Linked DNA regions of Daphnia pulex. The protein of the gene in region 1 interacts with the protein of each later gene in a pairwise test. Links are inferred from orthologs where the notes say so. Each region holds a gene or a part of one and is shown on either strand. Other genes may lie near its edges.

The links.
Region 2: the proteins of merlin-like (region 1) and serine/threonine-protein kinase Warts-like interact in binary tests that used the Drosophila melanogaster proteins (3 or more experiments, as listed by UniProt). The link is inferred for Daphnia pulex from reciprocal best matches to the Drosophila melanogaster genes Mer and wts.
Region 3: the proteins of merlin-like (region 1) and scaffold protein salvador-like interact in a two-hybrid assay, tested with the Drosophila melanogaster proteins (2 studies listed by BioGRID). The link is inferred for Daphnia pulex from reciprocal best matches to the Drosophila melanogaster genes Mer and sav.

What each region holds. Positions count from the first base shown.
Region 1 is NC_060022.1:2,536,077-2,546,568, forward strand, and holds merlin-like, read right to left. Parts: upstream 6,496-10,492; 5' UTR 6,276-6,495; coding exon 6,189-6,275; intron 6,126-6,188; coding exon 5,996-6,125; intron 5,930-5,995; coding exon 5,724-5,929; intron 5,669-5,723; coding exon 5,544-5,668; intron 5,477-5,543; coding exon 5,374-5,476; intron 5,279-5,373; coding exon 5,069-5,278; intron 5,003-5,068; coding exon 4,896-5,002; intron 4,823-4,895; coding exon 4,693-4,822; intron 4,623-4,692; coding exon 4,491-4,622; intron 4,428-4,490; coding exon 4,176-4,427; intron 4,116-4,175; coding exon 3,799-4,115; intron 3,737-3,798; coding exon 3,577-3,736; intron 3,519-3,576; coding exon 3,468-3,518; 3' UTR 3,158-3,467; downstream 1-3,157. Other genes in the region: ATP-dependent RNA helicase DHX8-like, read right to left, coding at 1-2,858; N-acetylglucosaminyl-phosphatidylinositol de-N-acetylase-like, read right to left, coding at 7,051-7,158, 7,231-7,361, 7,437-7,533, 7,599-7,698, 7,776-7,869, 8,017-8,126, 8,217-8,452. UniProt on the Drosophila melanogaster protein: Regulator of the Hippo/SWH (Sav/Wts/Hpo) signaling pathway, a signaling pathway that plays a pivotal role in organ size control and tumor suppression by restricting proliferation and promoting apoptosis.
Region 2 is NC_060026.1:6,944,509-6,955,103, reverse strand, and holds the start of serine/threonine-protein kinase Warts-like, read right to left. Parts: upstream 4,913-10,595; 5' UTR 4,564-4,912; intron 4,307-4,563; 5' UTR 4,157-4,306; coding exon 3,944-4,156; intron 2,479-3,943; coding exon 2,409-2,478; intron 2,294-2,408; coding exon 1,497-2,293; intron 1,420-1,496; coding exon 1,114-1,419; intron 1,049-1,113; coding exon 929-1,048; intron 868-928; coding exon 604-867; intron 533-603; coding exon 347-532; intron 281-346; coding exon 64-280; intron 3-63; coding exon 1-2. Other genes in the region: uncharacterized protein LOC124206172, read left to right, coding at 4,944-5,119, 5,338-5,430, 5,491-5,631, 5,706-5,860, 5,939-5,967, 6,032-6,831, 6,908-7,185, 7,260-7,504; probable ribonuclease ZC3H12C, read right to left, coding at 8,068-9,671, 9,740-9,879, 9,946-10,281, 10,348-10,595. UniProt on the Drosophila melanogaster protein: Negative regulator of Yorkie (Yki) in the Hippo/SWH (Sav/Wts/Hpo) signaling pathway that plays a pivotal role in organ size control and tumor suppression by restricting proliferation and promoting apoptosis.
Region 3 is NC_060028.1:80,207-90,754, reverse strand, and holds scaffold protein salvador-like, read right to left. Parts: upstream 5,378-10,548; 5' UTR 5,244-5,377; coding exon 5,150-5,243; intron 5,067-5,149; coding exon 4,834-5,066; intron 4,708-4,833; coding exon 4,507-4,707; intron 4,332-4,506; coding exon 3,815-4,331; intron 3,758-3,814; coding exon 3,183-3,757; 3' UTR 3,111-3,182; downstream 1-3,110. Other genes in the region: uncharacterized protein LOC124209127, read left to right, coding at 85-2,777; uncharacterized protein LOC124209131, read left to right, coding at 5,845-5,953, 6,025-7,043, 7,113-7,454, 7,518-7,904; carbohydrate sulfotransferase 11-like, read right to left, coding at 8,282-8,833, 8,893-9,070, 9,126-9,274, 9,346-9,462; RNA-binding protein Rsf1-like, read left to right, coding at 10,307-10,548. UniProt on the Drosophila melanogaster protein: Plays a key role in the Hippo/SWH (Sav/Wts/Hpo) signaling pathway, a signaling pathway that plays a pivotal role in organ size control and tumor suppression by restricting proliferation and promoting apoptosis.

The DNA.
Region 1 (10,492 bases):
GGAGCGTCCATGAAGTCGAAGTTGAGCAGGTCATTGATGCCCATAGCTTTGAGTTGCAGGACAGTGGAAGCGAGATTAGTACGCTGGATCTCGGGAACAGGCGTGGCAAGCATTTCATCACGATAAGCTCGCTCCGTGTACAAGCGGTAAGTCTTTCCAGGTCCAGTACGACCGGCGCGACCAGCTCGCTGCTTGGCTTGCGCCTGTGAAATGGGTGTCACCACCAAAGAGTCCATTCCGGTCTTGGAATTGTAGACTTTCTGCTTGACAAAACCAGGATCGACGACATAGTAGATACCGTCGATGGTAAGACTGGTCTCGGCGATGTTGGTGGCGATAACAACTTTTCGGGAGCCTGGTGGAGCCGGTTCGAAAATTCGAGTTTGCATTTCAGACGGTAGAGCGGAATAGACGGGAAGAATGATGAGCTCAGGAACGTCAGGGCCCATGGACTTCATGCGCTCGTATAGAATTTCGCAGGCAGTATCGATCTCTTCCTGACCAGTCAAGAAAAGAAGAATGTCGCCCGGTGGTTCGTTAAGGTGGATCTGCATGACGGTAATGAGCGAGGCATCCAAGTAATCCGTCTCAGGTTCCCGAGTATACAATATCTCGACGGGAAAAGTTCGACCCGGAATGGTGAAGATGGGCGCCTCGAAAAAGTACTGCGAGAATTTCACGGCATCCAAAGTGGCCGACGTTACGATGAGTTTGAGTTCGGCTCGCTTCTGGACGGCTTGCTTGAGAAGACCGAAAAGAACGTCTGTGTGAATAGTTCTTTCGTGGGCTTCGTCCAACATGATGCAGGAATACGATTGCAGATCGGGATCAATCAAGCATTCACGCAGCAACATACCATCCGTCATGTACTTGATCAAAGTTTCAGGACTGGTGCAATCTTCAAAACGAATCGTGTATCCAACTTCCTGTCCTAGACGACAACCAAACTCTTCCGAAACTCGCTTGGCAACGGACATGGCGGCCACACGACGAGGCTGCGTACAGCCGATCTTTCCACGAGCCGTGAATCCGGACTCGGATAGATATTGAGTGATTTGCGTAGTTTTTCCCGAGCCCGTCTCACCGATGACAATTAGGATTTGGTTGTCATTGACAGCTTTGATCAGTTCATCTCTGAGTTTGTAGATGGGAAGTGATTGACGTTGCTCGACGATGGACAAACTAGTTTTCTTGCCGAAAGAGGCTCCTTTCGGTCCACCAGTGATGTGCTTTTTCCATTCGGGCATGTCGTATACAGGGGCTCCCGTTCCGCGACCCAACGACGTTGACGGTGCAGCCCCAGCATCCGGCATGGGATCAATCCAGGTCTTGTTGGCGCCTTGAGCCGGTGCGTCAGCTGCTTCTTGTTCTTCTCTGAGCAACATTTTCTGTTCGCGGCGTTCTTTGCTGAGAGCGCCTTGCATCATGGCGGCTTGAGCTAGAGAACCGTCGGGATTCTTGACGATACGAACCGGACTAAGTTCATTAAGCACTCGACCGTGACCTCGAAGAAAGGGTGCCTCTTCTTCCACCAACTCGATTTCGATATCTTCTTCGTCTTCGGCCAGCTTTGGCAGTAAACCCGTTTCTTCGTCGAATTCGGGCAAGTCCATTTTGTCGATACAATTTGCTGCCATCATTTGCTTCAGTTCCCAGCGTTCAGGAGACGAAATCCGTTGCACACGCTTGCGGTTGGTTAGTTCATCCTCCTCTACATTTGCCTTCAAATCTAGCAATGAGAGAGGTCGATCTGGATTCCTTAAAGCTGTTTCACTTTCCTGGCTGGTTAGTCCAGGGCGGCTTGACGTCGAAGGAGCTGGGTTCAAATCTTCGCCAGTGTCTTGGTCCACATCTTTCATAGAAAGAGAGATCTTTTGGCCAGCAATGCTCATAACTTTGACATGAACCTTATCTCCACGATTGACAACTTCAGCCACACTATTCACACGGCCTTCTCGTCGCAACTGGGAGATGTGCACTAGACCCTCACATTTTTTCCGTATTCCTTCAATTTGTACAAAACAACCAAAAGCTGCAAGATTCATGATTTTTCCCGCGTAGACATTTCCCACTTCTGGATTCTCTGGAAAATCTTTTTGAGGTTTCTTTCGACTTGGGGATTCTCGTCTGCCTTCGTTACTTCTTTTATCATGATGACGATCACTTGTTCTGTTTCGATCTCCTCTATCTGTACTCCTGGACCTGTGACTTCTGTCCCTGCTTCTTGATCTCCTCTTTTGATCTCTGCTTCTTGACCTTCTACTTCGGTCTCTGCTTCTGGATCTCTTGCTGCGGTCTCTGCTTCTTGATCTTCTGCTGCGGTCCTTGCTTCTTGAACGTCTGCTTCTTTCCTTCTTGTCTTTACTCCTTGCTCTTTCCTGAACAGGCTCGATTGCTTCAGTAGAAATCTTTTCTTCTTTAGGAGCCATGGCTTCTAGTTCAGCCATTAAATCGTTAGCTTCTTCAACATCTTTAATAGTCAATTTTATGTCTTCGAGAAGCATTGTTCTTGCCTTAGGGTTATCTGCTAAGGCAAGACCAGGGAAGAGTTCCCGTTTCTTCTCTGTTTCTGCATTGTAAACTGTTTTCTTTACCTGGGCTAAGTTCACATCAGTTGTTTTCGAGTTGGCTGATTTCATGTGTTTGATAAGACGAAGCAAATTTGCAATGAGAGAGTCTGAAAACTCGGCGCCATTCTCCAGCATTACACTTTTGAACTCATCAAAGGTCTTGTGTTTTTCGGCCAATGCGATGATGAACTCTGCCAGATCTTTATCGTTGAGTCCCAAATGGTTTTCCAATTCTGTGCACACCTTAGAAACAAGCGACAGGTGTTCGAGTTTCTCTAATTCATCCATGATGATATAGGATATTTTGCCACTTATTAAATCATTTACAAATTGACAGCACAACAATTGGGATGGCGACGAATGTGGAAATTGACGAGCCGACGAAAAAACGAATGCTTTCGTTGTTAAGACAACGTTGCAAGAATGCTGTAAAAGAAAAATCAAAATTAATAGATGAACTGGCAACATTGCGCGCAAAAAATATTTACATTTTTTCGAAATGAATTTGTTAACTTTTGCGTTTCACAGATTGAAATGAAGAATTATCTAATCTTTCTCGGTTCTCTGCATTTTGTGTTTGAATTTGAATGAAACTTTTCCATGTTCATATTGAATTGGTATTCTAGACATACAGGTTCATTTTGCAAAATTCATATAAGAATGTAAACAACGCCGATGCTGCTACTAGTAAAAGACATTACTCATTAGTCAACAAGAGTTAAGTTTTTTTTAAATGAAAGTCTATTTGTCTAATGTCTATGATGATAAGATTTCACGAAAATGGGCAACTTAGTGAATTAAAGATTATAAACTAAGTTGCATCCATGAAAATGGTCAGCCAATTTAAAATTTATGTACAACACATTGTCAAAAGTAAAATTAAAAATATGACTTAAGCTACAGCTCTTCGAAAAAGGCCACGCGCGCTCCAGTCGATCCAGATTTTGACTAGGAAAAAAAGAAAAATTAACTCAAATTTGAATTAATGACTCTCATTCATGCGTACCTTTTTGAGAGTTGAGTATTTGTCGTCCCCTGAACGGAGTTGCTCTTCGTGTAGCTGATCGTAAAGCGTTTGTTTTTCACCTACTTTCAAGACTTCAATCTCTGTACGCAATTCTCTCAGTTGCTCCTGCAGTTGCTTCGATTTTTCCAAGTATTCGACTCTAAATTTATTTTAAAAAATGAGCAAACAATTACGCAACAATTCCTACGATAGATTTACAACCTCTCTTTCTCAATTTCAAGTGAGAGTTGCTCCATATCGCCATGTGTCATAAGGTCATAGTTGGATGAAGAGTTGACCAGTTCGGAAGCAGCAATAGCTGATAGATATCCACTACTACTTAAGCCAGTTAAGTTGGTGAGGCCAGTAAGCTGATTAGCCAGCGGAATAGGAAGGCGGGCCTCATAAGCCGGCAAACTTGCTTCGTTAGAGACATCGTCGAGTCGTCGTAAATGTTGCTGAATGTCCGACTGATGATGTAAATGGTGGTCTGATCCAGCTACCGACGAACTTGATGTCGGAAACAAGTTGGGAACAGACTGAAAAATGGTAATTGTAGTTATTCGCTCATTAAAATGTTGACAGAAACTGCAAAGTACCAGGACAGACGCGGACGACGGGATGCGTGTAATTGGACGAGATGCCGAGTGTAAGGCTGCAACACTAGCTTGTGTTGTTAAAAACTCTAGTAGCTTCTTTTTGGCTTGAGTTTCAGCGTAACGGGCCTGCAAAAGGTCACCTTTTAGCTGCTCTGCTTCTGCTGCACAACGCTCAGAATTCTCTAATAACCTTGAGGCAATTTGCTTCGCCTCATGTAATTGTCTCTGAGACAAAAGTTTTTCCTCTTCGGTCTAGACGCAAAAAGACAATTAAATGTAAAGCTACCTAAATAAGTTATGAAAAAATTCACTTACTTTCATGGCAGATAAACGAATTCTTTGCAACTCTTGTTCAGCGTCTGAGGCTTTTTGAGTTAACAACATTGACTCTTCTTCTGCAACTCGCGCCTTTTCGGCCAGCAGCTCAGCCGACTCTTCGGAACGCCTCTACAAAATTGGTATAATGAAATACTGTACTTGATACTAAAACTAAAAATTAAACTGAAGAATATCATACCAACTGTTCGTTCGCTACACGGAATTCTTCCTGAAAGTGAATTAACTGTTGTTCTAGGGCTGCTTTTTCACGTTCAGCTGTTTCGCGTAGTTGCTTCTCTCGTGCAAGCTTATTTCTTTCACTCTGTCGTCTGAAAAACGGTAAAGTAACCACAATAAGAACTCAACAATGAATAAGACAAAACTTGTCAAGGTCAAATTTACCTGAGTTTCTCTTCTTTAGCCTGAGCCTTCATTTGCTGAACTTCAATTGAATCCGGTTTCCTCCGACGCATAAAGAGATCATGATTTCCAATACACAAATCTAAGATCTAGACATAAAAATGCGGAAATAAAATTCGCTATCCTTTTTCATTTATGTAAAAATCATGGATTACCAATTTGTTGACTCGATGCTTATCCGAATAGAAAATAAAAGGGGGTGCAGTTTTGTCGACTGGTTTAATGGCAAACTTTTTGTCGTCATAGCTGATGTTTTGGATCTCTGACCAGGGAAAGTTAATGCGCGGTACGGATTTGTTATCCTGCTCGTAAATATTCAGACCGAGGGCCGTAACACCAAGCCACAACTCGGAATCCCTTTTATTCTGTTCAAATAGAATAATAAGTTGTAGATTAAAACAAGTTAACAATATGCAAGATATACACGCATTTTAGTTTTAGCTAGGGTTTCTAAACTCACTTTTATAGGAAAATAGTTAACGCCATACATTTCTAAATCCTGTACGATTCTCAAGTACTCCATTTCAGCCTCATCACGACTGAGACCTTTATGATCCGCGTACCTATATAACATAAAGTAAAGTCTTAAGTCTATAAAACGGTTAAAATGGAAATGATGATCCTTATTACCAAATTTTTATTCTTTCTTCCCACATTTCAGCTGTCATTTGATACTGATCAAGAACTCTCTTAGGCAGTAAGTCTTCTGTACCAAGGAGACCAGGTTTCATGGCTGCCTCATCATAATCACCATACTAATGGGAAGGAAAAATTAATTGTGGAAAATCACCCAAGATATAATAATATTACCTTGGCTTGCAAAGCATATGAAGCAAGCAAGACTGATATTTCAGGAGGACAGTATATATCCATGTTGAGTATACTCTGCTTTACTTGCAAGAAAAACAAATGTTGAGTTATTTCTTGAACCAGCTCTTCAGCCACATTCTCGGGATAAAACTTAGCCAAAAATACAAAAGGCACAGGAGTTGTTTTGGGCACATCTTGGTCCTGAACTATAGATATTATGGCCATACAAACAGTTATTAGGTGAATGACACATAATAAGCATTAACACTCACCTTTTCTATCCATTTTCAACCACGCCAGAAATCCTTTGCAGTCTTCATACTGTAACCCAAAATACCAGGTCTCCCTTAATCCAATAGTTCGACACACTAGATCAAATAAATCTCTTCCATTTGCTTTGCACTACAAGAGTTATAATTGTCAGTTTTTTACATGAACATGATTATGTGAATAAATAATACAAACCTCTAGGTTGAATTCAAGTTGTGCGTCTAGGGTAAGAATTTTTACTGGAAAACATTTTGACGATTTGTGCTTCCGGCGGAAATTCATTTTAGCACACCGAGACCTAAACTTAATCAAACAAATCTAATGCAAAAACTTATAAAACTTAGAAAACGTCTTCATTTTGATTCATTCCATTTGTAGAATCAACACAGAATTAACAAATACTGTTCTTTCAGCTGATACAAAACAACGGAAAATGAACAAAAACAGGCTTGATTGCAGACGATGGGATTTTCCATCTATTGACTATTGCCACAGTGCACAGCCATCTGGACCCTGGCGGGACAACATGAAACTACTGGCGGGAAATCGTTTTTTTTTCTTCAGTTTTATAAAAAGAAACATTTCATGTCTGGTCGTCACAAAATTACAGCGTAAATGTCATGCTTTAGAAAATAGTTGAATACATGTATAGTAGGAGTATGACGAATTTCAAAATTGTATTATTGTTCACTGCATTTTCATTCAAATAAAAATAATACATTACGTGCACTGTTGACTTCAACCACTAACATCTGATAACATCAATATTTTAAATTTTGTTTAGTAAATGCAATAAAGTTAAACACAGCAGCCACGTGTGAGAATTCATTAGGGAAAAAAAAACAAGAGCCAACATACCCTTTTTTGTTTATGTTACACACTCCAGAGAAAAGACTAGGTATTTTGTTAAGGGAATTATAAACATCCATAAAATTGAAGGGATCAAAAAAATCTGAGTAAATTTACCCGTGTCCAAAATGCATCGAATCGATAGGATTTAAATTTTCCAACCACCGCACTTCCAGGTGCATATCTGAGACAACAAGCAGTAGCTAAGCTAGTAAATTTCAAGGGGAATGAATGTGTTAAAGAATAAGTATCTTGAAAAAATGATGTACAAACGGCGAAACCAAACATATTGACTAGCATGAGCTGCCATTGCTCTCTAAACGTGAACACATAATTAATTTATTTAGCAAAAGTCTTAATTGACATTATTAACTGTTTAAAAAAATACCTGAATGTTCATCCTATTAACCCAATCGGCAGTACAGATTAATGCACTAGGTTTGATTAAAATCGAATCAATAAATCCCAAATATTTTCGAAACAAACTGACCGTTTCCAAAATGAAAACTCGGACAGTAACTGTTGGAAAAATTAAAGACGATCTTTTAAATATCAATACATTTAATTATGCACACTATAATATAGTTTAAATACCTCTTTTTTTGCTTTCTTTCTTTAATTGCAACACCCCCTGATAAATCGATTTATGATTTAGGTGGCCACTGATTCCATTCTCATCAAAAGTTATGAGCTATAAAAAATTGCATTAAATTGTATTGTTAGTTAAGCCTATTAATCTATTCCTGAAATACTTACACTGTCAATTTTCAATTTTTCAATGTAGATATTCAAAGTATCTGCAACTGATTTGAAATCCCACAAAGAATGTGGATCATCTTCAAAGAAAGGAGGTCCACTGTTCACAGATAATGTAGAAATTTAAGAAAATTTAAGAAATTTCAACAATTTATGAATGTTTGAATGAATTTTTACCTGTGAATTATAATATTGGAATCAGCTAGTCCAAGAATCTTGCAACTTTTTTTTAGTTCCTCTCTCCTTGTTTTACCTAAGCCATCAGCATTGCCTTGAAATAGTGAATTTCACACATTAGAAATATTGTTATAACGTTTGAATTTAAGCACAAGTAACGAACAGACAAGTATATGAGTCCAAAGAAAAAGCTATAGTTCATGTAAGCGTATAGTAATAGTGATATGTAGTATTGATTTACCATCACTCAAGCAAAGAATGTAAATATCCTTTGCTTTCTTTTTCCTGGACGAAGAATCACTTAATGATGGTTGGACTAGTGCTGTGATGGCAGGTCCAAAAAACATGCATCTATTATACATGCATTCATAAGTGCATAAGAGAAAAAAAGTTAGATTAAGGTATTCCATAAAAATGTATATCTCAATTAACAAAACATACTCGTCGTCCGGATGAGCAATGACGAACAAGACATTGCTAAGCTTTTTAAAGAAAACTTCTTTAAGAAACAAACTTTTCTTTTGACTCAAATATCGGTAAGTGAAAAAGGAAACGAAAGTCCAAATTCCTAGTATAAGTAGTAAGTACCAACACATTTTAAAAATAAATATAAGTAGATAAGCCGAAATTGCTCTTCGAAATTCAAAAATACACAATCCTACAGCAGACGACAGCATTCGTTTTACAGCTGCTACCTGCTAGCTGTTTAGCGACTTTAGCCTAATGTGAAAATAAAGAAAATGAAAATTTGAAAACTTATTTCAACAACAAAATAGACCATGCTAATCCGCACAAAGTTTCTTTTAATTATCCTAGTAGCACAAATAAATAATTATCCTAGTAGCACCAAAAAATTATGAGCTTATCTTGCAACTCAATTTCACGTTTTACTTCTGCTAATTTACATCAAGATAATATGCCGGCCGGTATACTTAATGAAGAGCTACTGGCCGTGATGTAAGCCTGTAAGCTTATTTAACTTGAAAGATAGTTGCCACAATCAACAAATTCTCTTCTAATTAACGAAGCAGAAGCAACGTTGCAGATGAAATTTCTCAAACAAACAGCTAACGATTATTTACAGACTACTAATGTAGCTACGTTTTAAATCACGTATTATGACAAGGTACAGTGGTACAGTATATTCCGTGTGTTGTCATGGTTATAGACTTATAGGCTCGCACTTTGTTGTCGTTATGGACTATGCGCCACATCCTTTGATAATCAAAATGTTTACTAAAGCAGGTGAAAGATGAAACAGAACGAGTAGTCGTGGGCGCTTCTTGACTATAAAGATCAGAAATGTGCAGCAGGAGTCTGAGTATGTTATGGAAAAGCAGCGCCACTTCATGCTAAACATTGTATTTACATTCAAGGAAAACTGCGAGCAAACTTCTTAATGACTGCATTAGCTAATCGTGTATTTACACAAGAGTAATTCGCCTTCCTAAGTAGTCCTAACAGTATCAAAGCATCTAGTTAGGATCAAAACAGTCATGTGCTGTAAAAGATTAAAAAAGCTACCCTGACAACTCGTTGCTGTCGCTAGGCAACAGCACAGTATAGAAATAGTAGGCATATACAATTTTTCTTATCCTTTTTTCCCTGATGCAATAACTCGAGTGATTGCTGATCCAGTCGGATCCAGCGGTGATGTAAAAAGTACAACCCAACTTCTTCTTTGTCTCTGTATACTTTAGTAATTGGATATTGTCATCGCCTTAATCTTTTACATCTTTTAAATTGTTATATCAAAAGGTGAAACAAGCTAAAACTGGTTAAGTAATACTTTGAACTTCATTTTCAAAATACGTGAGCTATAACCTAAAAACAATACAAATATGGCGATGTGTATAATGCCATCGGAGAATTAAAAACGGATAAACGCTAGAGCCTTGCGAGTTTGAGTTCACGAGGGACTGCTGTAGACATACAAAGTTATTGATTAAGTTATCACATGAAAACAAGAGAATGCTATGACGCTATGTCAATAAGGTGTCAAAAAGGCTAATAGCTAAAGTAAACTATTGTTTGTTCCAGACAGTTTGGAGAGCTTAAAATGTAAACATTTTATTTGTTCGTTTTTTTTTTGCCTCCTTGACGTCACTATATTATATCTAACAGTCTACTCTATAAGCCTCAACGTTACAAAGGTAATATACTTGACTTTTTTGAATGATGCATGAGGGGCGTGTTACGTCCAACTCCTATGGGATGCACTTTTGCTGTTTAGAAATTTTGTTAAATATGAAAAGAAGGTCAAGACATTTCAACTGTTCAGTACCGTGCAATAAAAACATCACTGGCTGTAATACGTTGCTGCAGCATTGTCTAACTCAGTATGGGGATGGGTAAGAAGAAAAAAGGAAAATTGGTGGCGCAGGTAGAAGTGGTGGAATGAAAAATATTCGTTTTCTCACCTGCCCCCCTACCAATTAATGAAAACTTAGGGAAGAATGGGCGTAATGCTACAAAAAGAACAAGAAACTTTTTGTCGAACGACGAAGGTCATTAGATCCGAATAAATCAATGGGCGACTTTCTTTTCGTCACCATCACTCTTGTCAAGCTATAACAACCTATTCATAATCCGGGAATGAATTTCACAATTATGATCAAATTTCAAATTCGGTGGAATTACATAAGAGCCCACTCAGGTTTAGAACCTGTATTATTCATACATGAGCGATCCTTACGGATCCTTACACGGGTCATTAT
Region 2 (10,595 bases), on another chromosome or scaffold:
TGCTAAAAAGAAAATACATATTTCTTTTAAAGGTTCAAGATTAGACAAATCTATAATATTCACCTTTGATTTTCAAAAACATGGCTTTGTTCATCTTGGCTCGCTTCAAACGGATGTAATTAGATTCCTTTTGTGATAGCATCCGCCTCATCTGACATTGAGCCTCCTCAGACAAACCAATCTTTTTCATCTCAGTTTCCAATTGCATGCGACGTTCCATTCGCTGTTGATGCGACTTGAGAAGATTCTCAACGTGCTGTTCCATGAAGAATTTAAAGGCCTGGATATCGCGATAAAGAGATAAGACGATTGCAAATCTACACCGATCTGAGCATTCTTGTCATACCTGGGGTGAATAGTTGCGTACGCTAGATTCTCGCCTTTCTTCTTCCCTTTCTCGTGAGATATGTTTACGTTCCGGGATGGGTGACTGATGCGTCAACTTGTAAGGGGGAGGCGGAGGAGGTGGCATGTCATCTTTACCATCCTCCCCATTGGCACTGGACGGTGCACTATGGCCATTCAAATCGTTCTAAAGAAAAGTAAAATAAATTAGTGTCATGATTCAAGAAAACATAGATATGTCTTTCAAACTGAACATACCTTAGTGCTCATTCCAAGTCCCGAATCTTGCGTTCCCTCCGAAGGTGCAGATGAAGAAATAAAACTCACTGGTGATTGGCTCGGACCGCCATGGCGTCCCGAATCACACTGCGATGCTGCTGAAGACATTGGACTCTCAGAGCGCGAAGATGGAGTCTCAAGAGTCAATGGTGAAAACCGGCGCTGCCCCGGTTTTGGAGGTAACTGAGCGTGAGGTGAACCCTGTGATTCTACCTGCTGAGCAAGTCCAGTTCCACCATTTGCCTATGATGAGAGCATTGCTAAGTTTTTGCATAAGGCAGTCGATCGATTCAAGCAATAATACCATAGAGGAAGGATAAGGTGGGGGCGGCGGAGGAGTTGCGGATAAATTATATCCATTGACGGCAAGGACATTCGTGGCGTTAGTGGGGGTTGTCCCATGCTGTCTTTGAGCAGCCAAGGCCTGGAGAGGAAATCGAATAGAGTTCAAACGGGTTCGGTAGGGAATGGAGAGTTATTATATCATACCTGCATGGTCGATGCATAACTTGGTGGATCAGTCGTTGGGACGCTGACCGGCGCCGGACTGCTAGGGATTGGAGACGGCGTGCTGGCAAAAGATAGCGGACTTGGAGAGGCCATAGGAGCGTATGATGATGGTGAAGGACAGCTACTGGATGCATAGCCGGAAGAGGAATAAGGAGGCGGAGGCGGCGGAGGCGAGGCTGAAACGGCCGGATTTGAACGGACCGGGATAGGCGGTGGTGGAGGTGAACTTGATGATTGAGGAGGACCTGACGGCGCTACAGCTGTTTGCAGTATCGGTTTCTGAACCTGATGATTGATGAAACAGTAAAATAAAATAATTTAAAAAATCGGTATTGATTAGTGTCATTTGAGCTGATTTATACCTGCATGCTTTTGACAGTGATGGGTGGTTGACGGGGTGGCCAGGCTTGGTTGGGTGGACATCTCCCCCCGGCTTGAACTGACGACGACGAGGTCGGTGGTGGGAAGGGAGCCGGACTTTTGCCAGTTGGGCTGGGAAGCGTCGGGCTTTGTCGGTTAGATAATCCGCTATCCGGTCCTCGATAAGGCGGAGGAGGAGCCACTAATTTAGAAGCTGATCCGGTGGGATACGGAGGGGGTGGAGCAGAAGACGGTGGCAATGGGCTGCTGCCATTGCTGGATTGTTGTTGCTGTTGGTACATGTTTAAAGCTTGCATCTGCTGAGTCAGCTGAGCTTGTGCTTGGGGTCCATTTTGAACGACGAGGGGCGGAAGCCGACCGGGCGGAAGAGCTGGAGCCGGACTGGTCCCACGGGGTCCCGGAATAGGTGGTGCATTAGGCACGGGTGACATTCGTTTGAGCATCTGTTGAAAGTTGCTAGGATAATGTTGGCTGTTTGTTGATTTAGATGCAGCCGATGGAGGTGGGGGCAAAGGAGGAGGTGGCGGAGTGGCACCTCGAGGCGGCGGTGGTGGAGGTGGCGGATCTGACGACGACGGGTAGGCATTTCTTGACGAATAAGGCGGTGCTTCGGGTGCTACGTGACCACGAACGAGTCCCAGACCATTAAAATAGGCTGGGCTATCAGAACGGTTAGATGAAGCGGCCGAACTGGTATCAAAAGCCGGACTGCTCCTGGGTTCTCGCTCAAAACTCGGTTTCCGGTGTACCTGCTGCCCCGATGAAGGCGGAAACGCTCCTGTGAGGAATGCAAAGATAACCGTTATTGCGTGACCAATTTATTATTATCAGCTAGCGGATTTGAAATCACCCTTGAAATCTTATCAGAAAAAAATATTGACTGCGTGACTCACCTGTCGTAGCGGAGCGTTGCAGAATTTGGCCGTCGGACCGCTGTAAGTAGCCGTCGCTTCCATTTTCATGCTGAATCAGAAAAATAAAAGGTTAAACGAAGTCAACTTTCCTTCATGCCTCTACAGCTGTTTATTTCTATTCTCGACTTGGCATTTCTAATAAAAAGGGCTCTTTTCAAGACAGCCATCAAAAGAAAAATTCAATTACAGACGATATGGAGGAGGAGGCCAGGGACGAGTGTATAGTGAAAGCGGGTCTAGCTATCGGGTTTCTAACAACCGTTCAAGAATGCCAACAACTCCCTCTTTCTCTTTCCAACCACCTCATCCGCCCCAAAAATAGCCCAGATTCGGTTGAAGGCACACACACATGTGCAAGAGTGTAGACCATCACCAAGATGGAACGAGGGAGGGCTGTCAAATAGCGTACGCCATCAGTAGCGCAGCCAGCACAAACAGACCAACTGGCGGCTCTCTGCTACACACCGACAGGAATGCAATCCCGCAAAAACGAATAGATCCGGTCGAAACCCGAACCCTTATTTTCTTCTTTTCGCTCTGTGCGGCCATTCAACAGGCGGGTATCGATAATGTAGGCCATACAATGTCTCCCGGAATGTGTGCGTGTGGTTTGATGGAACACATAGGAATTCCGTCTACTAAGGTGCAAGGTCAATGAGGCGTGCGTTCGGAATTCTGGAGCCATTCGTCACACCGTCGCTCTTTCTCTCTTTGTGTGTCCTGTTGATGGTTACGAGTCCATCTCTCAAGCCACGCTAGTCAATCAGTATGTGTGATATCAGTTTTTGGGGTGTTGCAACGGTCGTCTAGTCGTATAAAAGAGGAGCGCCTCCAGCACAGGCATATGCCACGAACCATCTGCTCGGTCCATATCCCTCCCCTTTCTTCTTGTTTCTTCCGCTACGACACGCCAACCATCATTTTCGGGTGGCCGCTCTCGGCATTCTTTTTCGACCCAACATCGAAGAAATACTTGGCGCGGTAATGGACTCCCTCAGGCGCGTGCTCGGTTTGCCATCACCTTCATAAATCTCTTATCTGACCGAACTCTCTGAGGTTCATTACAATGCGAAAATTTCAAAACAAACACAATCAGTAACCTCACAGTCGGACGCAAAAATTCCCCTGAAACGCCCCTCCTTCCATATATACCTGATGGACACTAGACAGTACGGGGATTTTCAGATTAAGAAAAGGAGGAAAAATTTAGAATAAAAAAAACGACAACAAAAAAACGACCGTTTGTCCGGACCTATCCGACGGCATAACTTGCCCTTCCTTTTGGCCGGAAGAATGCCAGACTCGTAGGAGAATTTCATTCCTATCATTGTTGCATCATCACATGCAATGGTACATAATTTTCATGGGCAAACTAATCTTGACATGAAACTACTGCAACTGAAATATCTGCACAACCTAACAATCTATTCGTGTTACATGAACTGTACTTAAAGAGTATGGTATCTCATAGAAAACATAATACATAGACAGCATAAGAGATTGATATAAGTTACCTCTATGTATCCAGAAGAAGAAGTCGAATAAGGGTAAATGTGTTGTTGGTAGGAAATGTGTCCATCTTTAGGTATGGTAGGCAGAGGACTACCATTCTCGGTGGCAAAGGGTCTGAGAGAGTTGCGAATTTCTTGCAGGGCTTTCAAGTGATAGCCTGTCCGATCGGCTTTTCCAACTGCGTTGCTCATGCTAGTTTCAGCTCCAGGGCTCATACTGGCATGCCCATAGTCTTTAATGAAACTGACATGGCCAGAAAGCTGCACTGATCCACATTGTGTCACTCACTGTAGTACTCATAAATTGACGAGTTCATTCACTTTGAGAAATTTCATCCAAGGTCAGGGTGTGCAATAATCACAGACCTGCAAGATCAAACAACAGAATTAAAATTTACTAGAAACACATTTTGCAAAATATCAACAGTCGTGAGTCACGCAGGTCTAAACTAATCACAACACGAGAAAGAAAAAGAACCATGACTGTAGCCTCCAAGACTGTTTGGCATTTTCCGCCATCTTGGAAGAACTTTTTTTTTTAGAGCGAGCACAGGACGGCCCCAAAGAAAACTCGAGTTTTTACTGACGAAAGATTTTCAATTTTTAAAAGCACTACTACTTACTTGAACGGTTATCCATTAGCAATAATACGTAGAACAAACATTAAAATTTCGATGCAACATTAAGTCCACACACGGACAAAACAACATTCGTCACGAAAAAGCTCGGAATAACACTGAAGCCAGCGCAGACTATAAGCCTAGTTGCCCCTCTGGCGGTTTCACTTTGAAGAGAGAATTTTACCTCAAAGGCTCCTTTAACTCAAACGCTGAGCGTGATCCTTTCAAATCCTGTTCTCTGAATAAGTTTTATCAACCAACTGTTTCATATTTCTCATCTAAAAGATAAACAAAGGTTTTACGATTTCACAAATAAAAATTCGTTTTTTCACGTGAATACAAAATTTCAAGGGCATTGATTGAGAGCGTCCCCTTAGCGGAGAATGTTGGTACTGAAGCAGACGATAAAAACAGAAAAGAAAAAAAAACAACGAGGAGTTGATTTGATAGACGCTGTTGTGTGTTATTCATTTTCAATTTCGAAATTTCTTGTTTCGAATTTTTCCACAGAATTCCTGATGTCCAACAATACGAAACGAATAGTCCCATGGATTTCCATGTAAAATTTTATTAAGTTCTATAATACTAGAAATTGTCAAATAGGTTAATTTACGGTTAACATTTAAAATAGAAGTCACGTGGTTCAAATGCCAAAAGCTAACGTACACGTACATGTTAAATGTTTCGTACCTAATTACCTATGCTTTTATTATTTAAATATTTATTTTATAACTATGAAAAGTAGTTTGCTTGTTATTCATGAACAATTGTCTTTAGGGAAGAGTGGACACGGGTTTATCAACAAGTGTACTCTAACAAAATTGAGGAGAGATGGGCGGGACTGAATCAAATGACAATGTGGAAATCTAGGTAATTCATTTATAAAATGATAATTTTGATAAACTAATTTTTATTTACATTTTTTATTAGGGTTGACAAGCTATCTCTAGGTGTTGAATGCTCTTTGTATTTGTTACAAGCAATTTTACGTGATGAGGAATACAAGATGGATCCTAACAGTGCCCTGTCTGAAAACGATGTGGTTTTAATGTACTCCACTGCCATCATTAGGTAACTCTTACTATGTTAAGTTACATGTTTAAGTATCTTTCAATACTTAAACCTATTTAAATCTTTGTTCACAGGTTCATCAATTTGATATCTCATTTAGGACAAGTAGATTTAAGACATCAACCCATATCCGCCATTGCCGAAATGGCAGGGATTCCCGACTGGCTTGTCAGTATTCGGCACGAGGCTACCCACGCCAAGATGCCTTCTTTGGATATCTTGAGGCCAGGTATACATACCGCCTTTCTACGATAACTCTTAAATTTTAAAAATTCTTCATCTCAAATTTTTTTCTCGAATTTCTTAGGCGCCAACTTGGCTATGGATTGGTTGAAGGTAAAGACACTTTTTTTTCTTAACTTTCCTTTATGCGCAGACATGAATGCAAATTTAATAATAGGAAAATTATTGGCGTACCGAAGAAGAAGATAGCTATGATCTTTATTGGCCCGAGTCCAAGAGGGCCACATCTCGAATGATGCTTGCCAAAACGAAAATGGCAGAGGAAGGGAAGAATACGGGTTCGGCTGCCTCCAAGCATGCAGTAATACCTGAAGAATTGCAACTAGCCGTGTCTATGCTAGTAGTGCTTCTTAAGGAAATGGGCTGTCGGAATTCTTTCAATGAAATTCAGTCGCGAGACCTTCACCAGTACGCTTACGAACTTTGGCTCCAGACCAAGATCCCTTCCACTCCTTTGAACAAAAAGGAAATTGCCAAATTGGCAATACCGTTAAAGAAAATCCTTGCATTAATATTTGATGAAATCAAACGGATATTGTCTGAATGGGTGGAAACTGATGGGGTTGAGGGAATTGAACAGACGGAAAAAGTCGACGCACTCAAAGGGAAATGTTTCATCTCAGCTCTCTGTCAAAGTCCCCATTTATTGAAGAAACCCGAAAAGGGCACAATTTTCTCCAACCTTAAACCCATCTGGACATTGATTCAACAATGGCAAACGGTTCCATACTTGATGAACAAGTTAGTCACCATCGAAGTTGAAGATGATCAGCAACAACGAGTATTCTTGAGTTTGATAGGAGACATGACCAATGCTGTGCTGCATGCCCGAAATAATCCTGAAAACGAAAAGAATGTATTCAAATTCGATGAAGGTTTGCGTTCTGTAGATTGGGATAAAATGACACATGCCATTCTTCTAGAACCTCATCCGGAAACCTGGAACACTGTATCCAAGTAAGGACTGAAATCCTCTTCACTTGTTGTCGTCGTGCAATTAATTTTTTTTTCCCTCAATTTGTCGTTTGTTTAGAGTCTTTCTGTTATATGATCCGCCTGTAAATGCAAAGAAGAAAGAGAAAGTGGCCGCTTTGTTGCGACTATATTTGGGTAAAGACACTTCTGCCGAACCTTCAGAACGTGCCGCTTTTGGCAAGTCCACGATTCACTCCAAAATCTTCACTGCCGCAATGTTGAATCCACAGAATGAGAAACCCGTATTGAAAAGGGACTCGGGCAACCAACATTCTCAAGACAACAAATATTCAGCTGACCAAGCCCCAGTGATCGATGAATGGACCTTGTGTTCAGGTATAATAACCTTATCACATTTAGCAACCGAAACTTTTCAACCAATGTTTTATTTCATTTTCTGTTTATGGCAGAACACGATTGGTCACGTGTCCCTATTGGTAGCCTTCCGAGTATCACGACTGATAAGCTGGAGTTGGAAGGAGTTGACTGGGAACTAGTTGAAGTAGAAGCTAGCGATTGTAATTCAGATCGCATCGTGAACGGTACAAAACGAACTGGAGAGCGATTCGATTGGAATTCTTTACTGCGCAAGCGAAGACGAAGAGGCGGCCTGACCAAAGAAGGTCCAGTCGGACATGTAGCGAAAACACAATAAATTAATTTTGTACGCAAATGTGTATCGATTTTAATTCAATCAAGATGGGCATAATACATTGTCGAAATTTTTTTAAAAATAAGTAAACAGGAGAAGGAGAGAGCCAAATTTGTAGAGAACGAGAGAAAGACAGGGTGAAAACCCCTCATACCAAGTATATATAGATAATTATATAGACTTCCACGATACACAGTATCGTAGTAAATAAAACTTGACCCAAAAGCGGAGATTTTTCCAGGATAAATAAACGATTATAGTCTTGATCCACGGAATATACAATGCCGCTTTCAACAAGGATTGGACAAGTACTGAACTGAGCTCTTCGACGCTCTCGTCAAGTTCAAGACTTGAAAGAGCCAAACATATGGAAAGAGGCAAACCAAACTGTCAAACAAAGTCACTAAACAAAAGTGGCATTCACATTTAATGGCATTTGACAGTCCACGGAGGAACTTCTCTTCAGGACGATCTTGAATCCCCAGCATCGAATACTGATGTCGGGGAACAGACACTTGAAATAGGACGCACATACTTTTTGACGCATTTAATTGATGCCGATCGACCTAATTGTCTTTGGGGTACAGTGCCAAAATGGCAGCGCAGATTTTCTGGGCGTTTGTTTCGTCAGGCATCAGTGACATCACTTGTCGCACCTGCTCTTCAGGAAAGATGGCAGCCAAGTGATAAAAGAGCTTGTAACGTGCTTCGCTTTTACTGTTGGGCCCGTTCTCGTTGAAGGCTTGCACCGGCGATGAAGACAGGTGTTGATGAGCTGGCAGACTGGAAGTTCGGCTGGCCCAAGAATGTTGTTGTTGATGCATGTGTTGAGACGGCTGAACGGGTGGTAATGGCGGAGGAGGAGAGTTGGTCCATTCGTCAAAAGGATCTGTCAGACCCTGTGAGCTCCAGTCTTGCGAGCCGGGCATGGCCGCCGACGCAGCAGCAGCAGCCCCGTATAAATTAAGTTGTGTGTCGGATGTGCTGTTCAGTCGTTGCATGTGATTGTTGGATCCTGCGGGTTGCACATGTGGATGGGAGCGAGCGTGAAGTTGAGACGTTGGTGCCGGAGCGGATGCGTTGCGAGTGACGATCGAATGGACGGAAATGGGCGGAGGCGGATAAGGCGGAGCCAAGCCCTTTAAGGTGTACAATCGCGGATCGCATGCTGGGTTCAATGGATTCAATGTCAGCTGACGTTGAACCTTCCGGTGCGGATTAGGTCGAGCAGAGTCGTCGGGCTCTTCTACCCCGCTGGAAGAAGTCACGGAGGGCGGATCTGATAACTGTTGGCCCAAGGGGACATGTCCGCTTCTGTTCCAGTTAATACTGTTGCTTCCGAATCCATCCATGGTCATTGGTGGCGGAGGGACGGAGAAAGCGGGTGGAGGAGCGTGAAGCATTAGACCGTGAGGGATTTGCTGTTGTGCTTGGATCACTGACCGAACTGGCGAAAGCCGGGCCATGTTTTCTACACTGCGGCTCTTGAGAATAGGCGCCCTTGTGTCGGCCTCTTCCGGCTTAGGGCCGTCTTGAACTGGTCTCTCTTCAGTCAATTCCGGAGGAAGAAGTGACAGTGTTGGCACGATTGATTTCGTCCGTGCGAGTGGCGTTTTCTTCACAGGACTGGGCGGTTTGCCGGCCGTTGGGCTGGCAAAATTTTTCGTCAACGGAAGACTAAACGTTTTGCATGTCGGAGAAGATTCGCGGATTTTTCTTGCCACCGTCTGCTCGGCCAACCGTTCGCTGATGGTTTTCTGAGGGACATTGCCTCTCTCCGGATGATAATATTTGCACTTGTTTCCATAGGTACATTTTTTGCCATACGGACACGGAGGGGCAGTAGCTTCTGCGGATCCCTTGGCTGGAAGTTTGCGCAGGAAGCGATCCAGCTTGGGTCCATTACGACCCAAAGGATCTTCAGGCGGCATAAACCGATCGTTAACGAACGAGTACATCAGGATGCGCTCTTCGACTATCTTTCGATATTCTGGGTTTTCAGACACCAGATCGCGGTAGTTGTCGTTGGATACGACAATGCCGTCCGTCTCGGCCGCCAATCGTAAAATGTACCGATCGTCGTAGCAAACCAAACGACGGCCACCGACTTGCCTTGACGGAGTGAAAACCAGCATTCGTTCCTTTTCCAATTCCAGCAAAATCTCTTGATCTGATGATTAAAAAAAAAGAATCATTTAGATTAAAACGAACATGAGCAAATAGGAGGAATGAACTTACTGGCTATGGGCGCGTCAATTTTAGACGTTTCTTTCCGCCACATGGGAACGAAGACGGTTATTTCACGGTGACCTCTGGCGCGGAACCAGTCTACACACAGCTGGATTCCTCGACATGAGAAAATTTCCTTGTTGCCATGGCTGTTTATGGTCAAAAATAGATTAATGTTTGGTGTTATTTTAGCAGTAATGAGCCAACCAATTTACCTAATGGCTACGTTGCTTCCATCGATGACGACATGCCTTAGCACCGCCTCATCTGAACTAGTGATGGACAATGGACGATGCGATCGAACACAATCCGACTGTGATTCGATTCCTTCCGTCGACCCTGGTCCGGCTAGAGATGCCAAACGAATGAGTTCGGCCAAAAGTTCATTCTGGGTTGGTTGCCCCAATTTGACCAAAGCTTTTTGAACTTGCTGCTCGGTATAACCTAATTTTAAGGCAAATTCGACCCGATTCGAATAAGACGGGTCAGTGGCACAGGCGAGGGGACTCTCGTCGGAGTCGTCGGAATCATCGCGTGCCGTTTCCTTCAACCTAAACCCAAATTTGTAATTGTAGATTTAAATTTGCCTCTCAGAGTAAGTGCAGACAATCTAGTACCTCTGGAAAGACGGATTGTAGATGCAGACGTATTCATTGAACTCGGCGGCCAGGGTGTCGGACACAGTCCGGGAAATGTCTTCGTGCTGTTGAGCCACACCCGCAACCGATTGGATAAGGTCACCTGACAGACCTGTCAATGCCAAGTTAAGGCTATCGGAACACTCGTAATCGGAATCGTAACTCGAGTCCTCTGATTCCAGTTTGCGACGGGCATAACTCTTCCGAGCACCATCGCTGAGTGTCCG
Region 3 (10,548 bases), on another chromosome or scaffold:
AATATTATACTAGCAGTTATAGAGACAGAGCACACCTCCGCACACCTCATCATGAATCCAATTTTTTTGTTTTTTTTTTATCAGGCTATACTTTCTGGAATGGAAGTGATCTGAAAAACGTCCAGTCCACCAGGAACGACTACACAGATTTTTCGATTATTGCATCAGACAAACTCACCGACAAATTCCAAGAACTGAAAGTCAACGGGTCACTACAAGTCAGCATCTTAAGTGGCATGATTAAGCTCAGCGGATCGGCAAATTATCTCGACAAGACGAAAAGTACCAGTCGCCAATCGAGTGTTCATGTGAAGTTGAAGTGTCGCACCGCAGCCAAGAAATTACTAATGGAACATTTGGATGAGAGTAATTTGCGTTACCCACAGATTCAAAGAAGCGGTAGAATCGGCTCCGCAACTCACATCGTTACACAAATCCAGTACGGTGCTGAAGCTACGTTCACGTTCACCAAAAAACTAAGCGAAACAGAAAACGAACAAGAAGTCAACGGAAAGCTGAAATTAGATGTCGATAAATTTACCAAATTTCTTAAAGGGAACGCAAATGTTGGAGGTAGTTGGGCCGACACAAATCGAGAGAACGAGGATAGCATCGAATGTCATTTTCAAGGCGATTTCGAACTGCCCAGTAACGTGGATCGTCCAACAACGTACAATGAAGCCATCGAGTTCGCCAAAAAGTTCTTAAAATTTTCATCCGATTGGATGGCAAAAGACGATGCGGATGTAAGCAAGTCGCTTGGCGTGCCCATTAAAGTTTGGCTCTACCCGTTGGTGTTGATGCAAGATGCCCAAGGAGCTCCGGCTCTTCGATACGAAATTAGCGTTACGCTGGCGTCTCAATGCGTCCTGATTATGGATAACTACGGCGAAGTGGAAGGTACACTTGTTCTGATGCTTGAAGACCCTTTAGTAAAAAAGTTAAATCCACTTCAAAAGAAGCTCCAACTGTTCCAGCGATGCCTAACATCTTTCATTGCCGAACTGAAAATAAAATTGAAAGAAATGGTCGTCGGCATTCGCAGCGGCAAAATCAAAGTAGAAGATTTCAGTCAGCTGATGAGTCGAATCAGCAATGAACAATTCACGTTTAATTCCAATCGCCTCGAGCAATGGCTGGATCAAAAACACAAGGAACTTTGTATTATCCGAAGATTTCAAGATGAAGCTAAAAATAAATTAGGAAATCAGCAGAGCAAAGTTCATTTCTTCCCTTCTGCGAAAACACTGCTAACGCAAATGACCAAATTTCCAGTTGATTTTGGTTTCGAAATTTCACTCTCCTCCTTGGCTCACTCAGAACTTTTTTTGGATCAACTCAATCAGACGCTCGGGACGAATTTTTTAAATGAAATTTCATTACGGAAGAATACTGTAAACTTAGATCTTTGGTGTGAAAATAATTCCGTCATTGAACGGATCCAGAAGGAGATAGTCATCTTTGCCGAAGTAGTCAATGCCAAATTTTACGACGAGAAATTCGCTTTTGCCATGACGGCACTTGACGAATACCACGAAACTTGCGCAAATGAATTTTCGATCATTGTTCACCACAAACCGAAAAGGGTTTTGGGGTGGGATGCAGTTTTGAATGTTTGTCAACATTATCCAAAAGAAAAAATGATAGACATCATACGCCTGTTAGTTGAAGAAAAAATCCCAGAAGTATGGGATCCGTTTCCCCTTTTTGTTTTATGTCAACATTACCACAAAGAAAATTTGATCGACATTGTCCCATTGTTAATTGAGAAAAATATCGACGTCAACTGCAAGGACATTAACGGAAATAATGCCCTCCTTTTGTTGTGTCGAAATTACGACAAAGAAAATTTGATCGACATTGTCCGATTGTTAATTGAGAAAAATATCGACGTCAACTGCAAAAAAAACGACGGATGGAGTGCCCTCCATTTCGTGTGTTGGCATTATAAGAACGAAAATTTGATTGACATTGTCCGGTTATTAATTGAGAAGAATATCGACGTCAACTGCAAACTAAACGACGGATGGAATGCCCTCCTTTTGGTGTGTCGAAATTACGACAAAGAAAATTTGATCGACATTGTCCGATTGTTAATTGAGAAAAATATCGACGTCAACTGCAAAAAAAACGACGGATGGAGTGCCCTCCATTTCGTGTGTTGGCATTATAAGAACGAAAATTTGATTGACATTGTCCGGTTATTAATTGAGAAGAATATCGACGTCAACTGCAAACTAAACGACGGATGGAATGCCCTCCTTTTGGTGTGTCGAAATTACGACAAAGAAAATTTGATCGACATTGTCCGATTGTTAATTGAGAAAAATATCGACGTCAACTGCAAAAAAAACGACGGATGGAGTGCCCTCCATTTCGTGTGTTGGCATTATAAGAACGAAAATTTGATTGACATTGTCCGATCGTTAATTGAGAAAAATATCGACGTCAACTGCAAACAAAACGACGGGTGGAATGCCCTCCTTATCTTGTGTCGACATTACGACAAAGGAAATTTGATCGACATTGTCCGATTGTTAATTGAGAAAAATATCGACGTCAACTGCAAAACCAACAACGGATGGAATGCTCTTCATTTCGTGTGTTACTATGCGCCTAAAAAACTTTTGGTTGACCTCGTTTCGATATTAATTCAGCACAAAGTCGACAAAAAAGTAAAGACGACTGATGGTTCAATTGGGACTGCACGTTCCTTACTTTTAGAGCGTTTTAAAGAAGACGAGGTCGCAGATGTTCTTCAAATGTTGGATTCATAGGCGCATTTTTTCTTTGGTACATACAGCTATGTAATTCTTTACATTTGACCTGAACATAAAATACTTCGTGCATTATGTCAAAAGTCAGAATATTTATTCAATTTTTAATTCTTTTTAGAATGCATTTCCTTGGAGTGTTTGCCAACAGGATGACGATGATTCGCTGCTTTTACTACATTCAGAAATAATTTTCTTAGTTCTTTTTTCAATGAAATGCAAGCTTCTGAAAAATTGGTAAAATGTGTTCAAAAAGATTTACTCTAACCCAAAACATGATTTGAAATTTACGCCATTTAACTTATGCTTAAAATGGAATTTCACCTAAATATCATCTTCTGTCAATCAATTTATTAAAACCCCAAACAAACATAAGTGCACTTCTTTAAAAAAAAAAAAAATTTTGTTTTAGACTTTCGTTTCAAGATCTCCAGCCAAAGCTTTTTCTTTCAGGTGACTTCTTGACTGTGGTGGAGGAGGCTGCAACATTTGTTGTTGTTGTTGCTGTGATTGTTGTTGTTGCTGAGCAGGAAAGTGTCTGCTGTGCCCTTCGGCTCTTCTCCTTTCCATTTCACGAGCCATGGCCGACCGATACGCCTCGTAATTCATCACAATCGTCTCCAGTTCCTGTTTGTACAAACGTTTGAGGACGTTGTCGTAGCAGTCGAGTTCCGGCAGCCGGAACAGCTCCCACCGCAATTTGTGGTCGTGTTCGGGGGCTGCACGAAAGTAAAACTGCAACCAATAAGGGATCTCCTCGTACAGGTAAGGATTGGCCGGGACCAGCACTTGCGGTGGAGCGTGAAATTCCGTGTGACGTGGAGCCGGAGGCATCGGTCTCGACGGACGCATTTGTGCATCCGCCAACGAAGAGGATCCCGACGTGATGTAACGGGGGGCACACGGATGTTCGTACTGGGCGTGGCGGGTCGTGTGATTGACGTAATAAATTCCAAATTCACTCGACTCGACTCGTTCCCAACCTGAAATGATAAAACAAAATAAATTAAAATCCTTATTTAAAATCAAAAATGTTATACCAGTGGGCAATCCTTCTTTCTCCAGCGGATGGGACCAGTGAGTCGTCTGCGTGTTGTGATCGATGTAATACTTTCTGCCACGCAACGTGTAATCAATCGACCATCCAGGTGGCAAAGGAAACTCTTCCGAACCGCTATCCTGACTCGTGTTGGTCGACGACGACGCTGGAGGTCCAGCAGCTCCTGCGGTCGTCGATTTACTCAAATTCTGATAGACGGGATTCTCTTGCTGTTGTTGGGAGCTGCTGTTACTGGCCAGCGAAGACTGGGAAGCGCTGACGCTGCTGGAAAGCAAAAGAGGGATGTTGGCGTAGGTGGGAGAATGTTGTTGTTGTTGTTGCTGCTGCTGTTGGTGGTGGAGTTGTTGTTGTTGATGCTGTTGGACGCTGAGCCTCAACTGGGCCAACTGTTGCTGCAAGACCAACAACTGTTGCTGCTGTTCACGTGCAGAAGCAGAGAGATAAAGTGGATAAATGTGCTGCTGTTGTTGTTGTTCAGCTGCCTGCATTGAGCTGAGCTAAATTGTTCAAAAATTAAAATAACAATTAGTCGAATTTATTTAATTGTAATAAAATAAAAAAAGGAAAAAGATTCTTTCATTTCCAGCCAGACCAAGGAGAGAGAGAGTGTGTGCGAACCAGCAGACAAACAAACAAAAGACAAACGAAAAGCAAAAATGAGGAAAGCCATACCTGGGAATCAGGATCAACCAGAACGAGTTTCAGTGGATTGGCCTGGGTATTTTGGTGGCATAAAGGAGAGTTGGCTGGGAACTGCTCAGACCCCGGTTTCATCAGAATATGCCCCTCAAGGCCCAAGCCTCTTGCCAGTGAGAGTGAATCACTCTCTGATACCTCGGCGTAATCAGCGTAGGCCTCATCAAAGGAGACAGACTAATTTGGGGGCAAAAGCCGTGCAACACAAACAAGGATGTGAACATTCACTCAAGCCAGGTGCCGATGCAAGCAAACATGCCGTAAACAAATCACCATTAAACACACAAACAAACGTCTACCTACCAAATGACTCTGTTGCTGTTGCTGCTGCTGCTGTTGTTGTTGCTGCTGCTCAGCTTTGACTTCGCTGGCAGGTATGTACCTTCCCTCGTAACCCTGCTGAATTTGCTGCTTGCCACCATGTTTTATGTTGGACACTACTTCCAAACTTTGAGTCGAGCCGCTCAGCTTCTTTGCTGCCTGGGACTTGCTCTTCAAAGCATCAACAGTTCTAGTGGAGGTCCAGACGTTGATGACTACGTAATGACAAAAGAATTCCGTTTGTTAACTAGACCAAAACATTCTTTAACGGTATGCAAACTGGTTTATATGTATTTACTTGGCACATCTGAAGGCGCTTCTTTCTTTAGGTATTTCCCCGTCGTAGTTCCATTCGAATTCCAAGTTTTCGGATCCTTTTTCTTCGTCAACATTTCCGTTGTGACTTGTGTAAATTGTGAAACGATTACAAATTTAGTAGAGCTTCCGAATCTTGATGAATCAACACACACTTGACGAGGTTTTCCACTTGAAACCCCCTTGCCGGAGGTGAAAAAACAAAACTTTTGGGCGCATTCCAACGTTAGAGGGCCACCTAACGGTTGAATCTTTATCATTTTCGGTTAAATATTTTTTCTCAAATATTTATCTAAATTATATCATTAATTTTTGAATTAAAAATTTAGCCTATTTCAAATGTTTAATTTATAATTTAAGCTTAATTGAATTATTAGAGCTTGATGAAATTGAGGCCAATACCTGTCAGCTGATTTCCCCTTAAACGTTCGTCTGTAAAAGTCGAACGAAAATTCTCCCGTTGTTCGAATAAAAAGGAAAATATTAATCTGTAAAAACGATGACCTGAATCACCTTGATAATGGAAAATTTTAATTGTTACCCTTCGTAAAATAGTTTGTGCTTTAAGGATTTCGTTCAATCCCACTGTATATGCGTGCAAGTTTCTTGACCCATTAATGCAGCCTCACATCACACAGTGTTATTTCCCTTTCTCACTGCTTAATATTCTGACTAGCCATGGCCTTTCCTTCGTATTCCGGCCCGTTGAAAAACCCTTTTAATGATATTAGTAATGAAGATGATGAATTTGGTGATTTCACAAGTGCTGTGACGTACCCCACAATCGGTATACATATTGAACATTACATGGCTTGCAAGCAATGGCGTTGAATTTGTAATTTCTTTATTTCGTTGCAGGAAATTGCAACGGGGAACCTGGCTTTCAGGTCAGTTTGCCTGTGCAGAATCATCCATCAAGCAACACCAAAATGCCCACCAGCAGTGTCTTCTTCAATCCCATTCCTGATAGTAGTGACATTGATGATGAATTTGGTGACTTTTGTGGACCTATTGTGGCAAACGCTTCACAGTTTTCCATGGTTGTGCCTGCTACACCTGATAGTAATAGTAATATAAGCCTTCCACCAGAAGGAAGTCTGAAAAAATGCCAGCCCAATTATGACATTGATCTTGAGGAAGATTTAACAGGAGTGTCCCAGTTATCGTGGATCAGTCAGAAGCAAGACGAGTCTAATGGAGTTGTCGAAGAGGAAGAAGAATTTACAAACTTTACTAGTGCTGAACCGATAAATTGTCAACCTCTTGCAATCAACAGTGTGTTCTCACCCATCCAGCAGACTCCTCATCCGATTGTTGAAGAAATCTTCTCCACATTGGGACAAGTCTCATTAGAATTACCCCCTACTCTGCAACCACTGGATCAATTGACAAACTCCAAAGTCGATGATGACTTTGGTGATTTCACACAGGCGTCATCAGTTTCTGAATCAAATCATCCACCTGTTGTGGAGGATCTTTTCAGTTTAGACGCCGTCCCACCTTTCACGCTGGATTCTCCGGGAGTCTCTAGTCTGTGTTTCGATCAGCAGGACGAGATGGAACAGCCCCACTTTGCCGCCATGAGTGACTCGACGGATTCGCCTCAAATCAACTGGGATGAACCACTGGAAGTAGTTGATCCACTTTCAACGACTGTCTGTTTCGATGTGGATAAAATGAACCCATTGGATGACGTCGTCAAGGTGGAAGAAGAAATATTAAACCAAGAAGAAGAAGAGGATGAAAACGAATTTGTTTTTCATCAAAATGTGGAAACGGCCGAGCCGGAATTTTCAGATTTTCAAACGGAACCGATCGACTTACCAGTCGATGATGGCGACGTCGAAGAATTTGGAGATTTTACCGATTTTCAAACAGTAAAAAAATTTAGATTTTACTTCATTTATTAGTTGAAATTATTTCTTAATTTAATTTAATTAATTTAGGCGACGTTAGAGGCTGTGGCTACAGAAGATGATGACGAATTTGATGATTTCGAAGCAGCTCCCTGCACGGATAGCGCGCCGGTAGTTGAATTGCCAGCGGCGACACCTGAAACTCACATCCAGCGGATGTTGACGACCTTGTTTCCGGTCAATTCAGCAGCCTCCACCGACTCGGAACTTCAACAACAATCGTCGACCATTCCATTGATGAATTCTCCTGGCGGTTCCTTGTGGTCTTATGTCAGTCAGTTGGACTCTACACCGGCGCTGTCATTTAGTTGGAGGCATTCGGCAGCTCAGCAGCGATTCCTTCACTCACTCCGCATCGACAGTGTTCTCCAGGTATTAATTAATTTATATTTCATTCACTACCAAAGAGTTATTTAAAATGAGCTCGATTAACAGGGGAATGCCGGTGGTTTCCGTTGGAATTCGCCACCCAGCGTCAATTCGCCATCGGCGTCGATGAGTGAAAGTTTCACCGAGGCGGCAGTCACATTAGATTTGGATTTCTTTTTAAATCCATCATCATCCGCCACCGCCGTACCTGTCACCACCACCACTACCAATAACACGACGAGCGACAGCATTTTGGAGACGATTGAACGCGAATTGCTTTCACCTCAGGGTAAAGGACTCCGCAACCCAGGAGTGGCTCCTATTGCCCAGTCACCAGCACTACCCGTCCGTCACAATAATCACCAATTGAGTGACATTTTCCAACACTTGCATCTACAAGATAATGCGACTAATTCGTCTGTGACTAATCGACAAGTCGATCTACTTCAGTAAATTTAAAGATAAGAGGGCATTTTTTCTTTTTCCTTTCACGCGTGAAAACACACAAACCCACATTCCATTCCTCCTCCCCCCCACTTTATTTGGGTCGTTTCGTTCGGGATCGAGTCATATCAATTTTTTTTTTAGAATTTAAGTTTATTCTCACAAATGCATCGGTCTAAATGTTTTAAAACTATTTTGAGATGGAGAAGGGGATATCGTGCAAAAACTTTAAAAATAAATTTTCAAATTTTGTCTCTTTTTTCAAGCGTCTAAAAGCAAAATGTCCTTCGTGTTGTGTAAAAATTTGTTTATCGGTCCTTTTTTCAACGACACGGAAATGAATTACATTTTACGTGGAATTATTCAATAAATAGATTTTATTTGCATTAAGTAGAGAGGTAATAACCGTCGATGCTGTAACCAAACAATTCGAAATCTATTTTGTATTTTTCGTAGAGTTTCAGGATCGTTTCCCGGTCGAGTTGGCTGTAATAAGATTTGATCAATTCCGTTTTAGATCGACCGAGTGTCGTCGAGTGTTTGCGCAGTGGGCCGCTGCTTTCGCCCAGGAGATTGAGCAACAACTGGACGTCCTCCTGGAGCGTTTCAAACTGGATGATGACGTCATAATCGATGAGACACGGAGTGCAGAAGAGATAGTAAGGAATCCAGTGGTCGTCGGCGTAGAGCGTTAAATCCGTGTTGATCAAATAGGCGACAAATTCCTGGAAAGTCGGTTCGATCCTTTCACCGTCGTTCTGCTCCTTTGGAGATTTCCCGCGGTACTTTGCGACGATTTTGCGGCCGTATTTCTCGTAGAAATGGAGCGTGCCATCTTCTCGGTGGATGGTGGAATTCTCCAGTTTGTCGCGATAGGCCGACAGGATTCGCTCGAATGGATGGCGGACCACCATCCACTTTTTGGACTCTTTCATCAACTGCAAATTGTGTAACGATTTAATTTGAATTAGTTTAAGTAGTTTAATTATTTAATTACCTCGGCAGCGGCGGGGTAATCAATCGATGGGAATTGCTGGCGTGCGACTTGGCTGATTTGTCGATGGCCTTTCTTCATTTCCGATTCACCGTCGATATTCTTCATGGCCAGTAACCAGTGCAGCATCGACGTGGAAGCGGCCTTGTAGATTGGACAGTAAACCGCCTTTTTCCTAGGACTGAAAACAAATTTTAAATCAAAGGAATTGATCTAAATGAATTCAATTTACTTACTGCAAATAGTAGAGGACACTATACTGCGGCGCTGGCGGATGCGGGATGGAATAATCGGCAATGTTGATTGAATTGGGTTGGATGTTGTATTTGACACAGGTTTCGGCAACCTGTTTTAGCCTCCGGGACATTCTCTGCTCGATTTCCTCCTTTAACCAAAATTTGATGTTTGTTAATAACATTTACAGCAGGTGAGAGAAGAATTTGAGTGAGGTATTACCATCGGAATTGACGAGTGAGTCCATCCATTTGTGATTGTGTGCAATGACTTGAGGAGGAGCAGGAAAACTGTGACGGAAAGAAAAGCGTAAACGATACGAGAAGGCGTTAGTCTCATATTTTACGACACTGAAAAAGAGCGAGACATTTGGCTCTCTTACCTGAGGATAAACAGGTTTTTATCGGTTTGCATTTTTAATCAGTCACTAGTTAAATGGTTTTGACACATGCCGGGCCTTGTTTTTCTTTGGAAAGATGTGTGTCTGTCAACTAGCGCCAATGATGAATTTTAAGTTGTTTTTTTAATGTTACCGAGGTTTAAATTGAATTCTAAATGGTTTTAATCTTTTTATTACTATTTTTTTAAATTCAAATGCACAAATAAATGTTTTAATTAGATGATGTTAAATTTTAAAAGTTGTAAATTTGGCCGCCATGAACGCTACTGCCATCTCGATTCAGAGCACGCTGCTAGTTTCAAAGGCCTTCGTTAGTAGTGAGGCTCAATTTTAAGTCTGCTGCGTCGTTCATACAGCTCGCGTTCTTTTCACATACGAGGGACTGTTTTTTCCAATAAACGAGGCAAGTAAATAACTATTTTGTGATTTCAAGTTGTCTTTATTAATTATTAAGATTGCTTGTAGCGGTGTGATCATTATTCGAGTTGCAAATTTCCCTTAAATATCAATTTTTCAAGTCTTGTTGGCGAATCGGCTTTTTGTGTCCCACCAACACCCCAAGGGTGGCCATTTTATTGATTTTCAAGGAGAGGCATTCGCCACAAAGGGTTGTTTCTTATAAATTGCCTTTCTTGTTGGGTTGGATTGCATTCACTTGATAGTGATTCCAAGTTTCCCCAAAAGTCCCGTCAAATTTCCAAATCGTGATTTCCCAAAATGCACAAGCTCTAAGTTTAACATGTTTCGTCCATTCTAATTTTCCTGGTTTATTGAATTTCAGAAATGACTTCAGATTACGAATCAGACGAGAGAGATGCCGGTGGCGATCGTGGTGGTCGAGCAGTGTCCACTAGCCATCGAGTCTACGTTGGCAGCATTCTGGAAAACGTCAAGAAGGAAGATCTCGAAGTGGAATTTGGCAAATACGGCAAGCTGACGAGTGCCTGGGTGGCGTTCAATCCTCCCGGCTTCGCCTTTATCGAGTTTGAAGACGAATCCGACGCCCAGGAAGCTGTGGCCAGCAT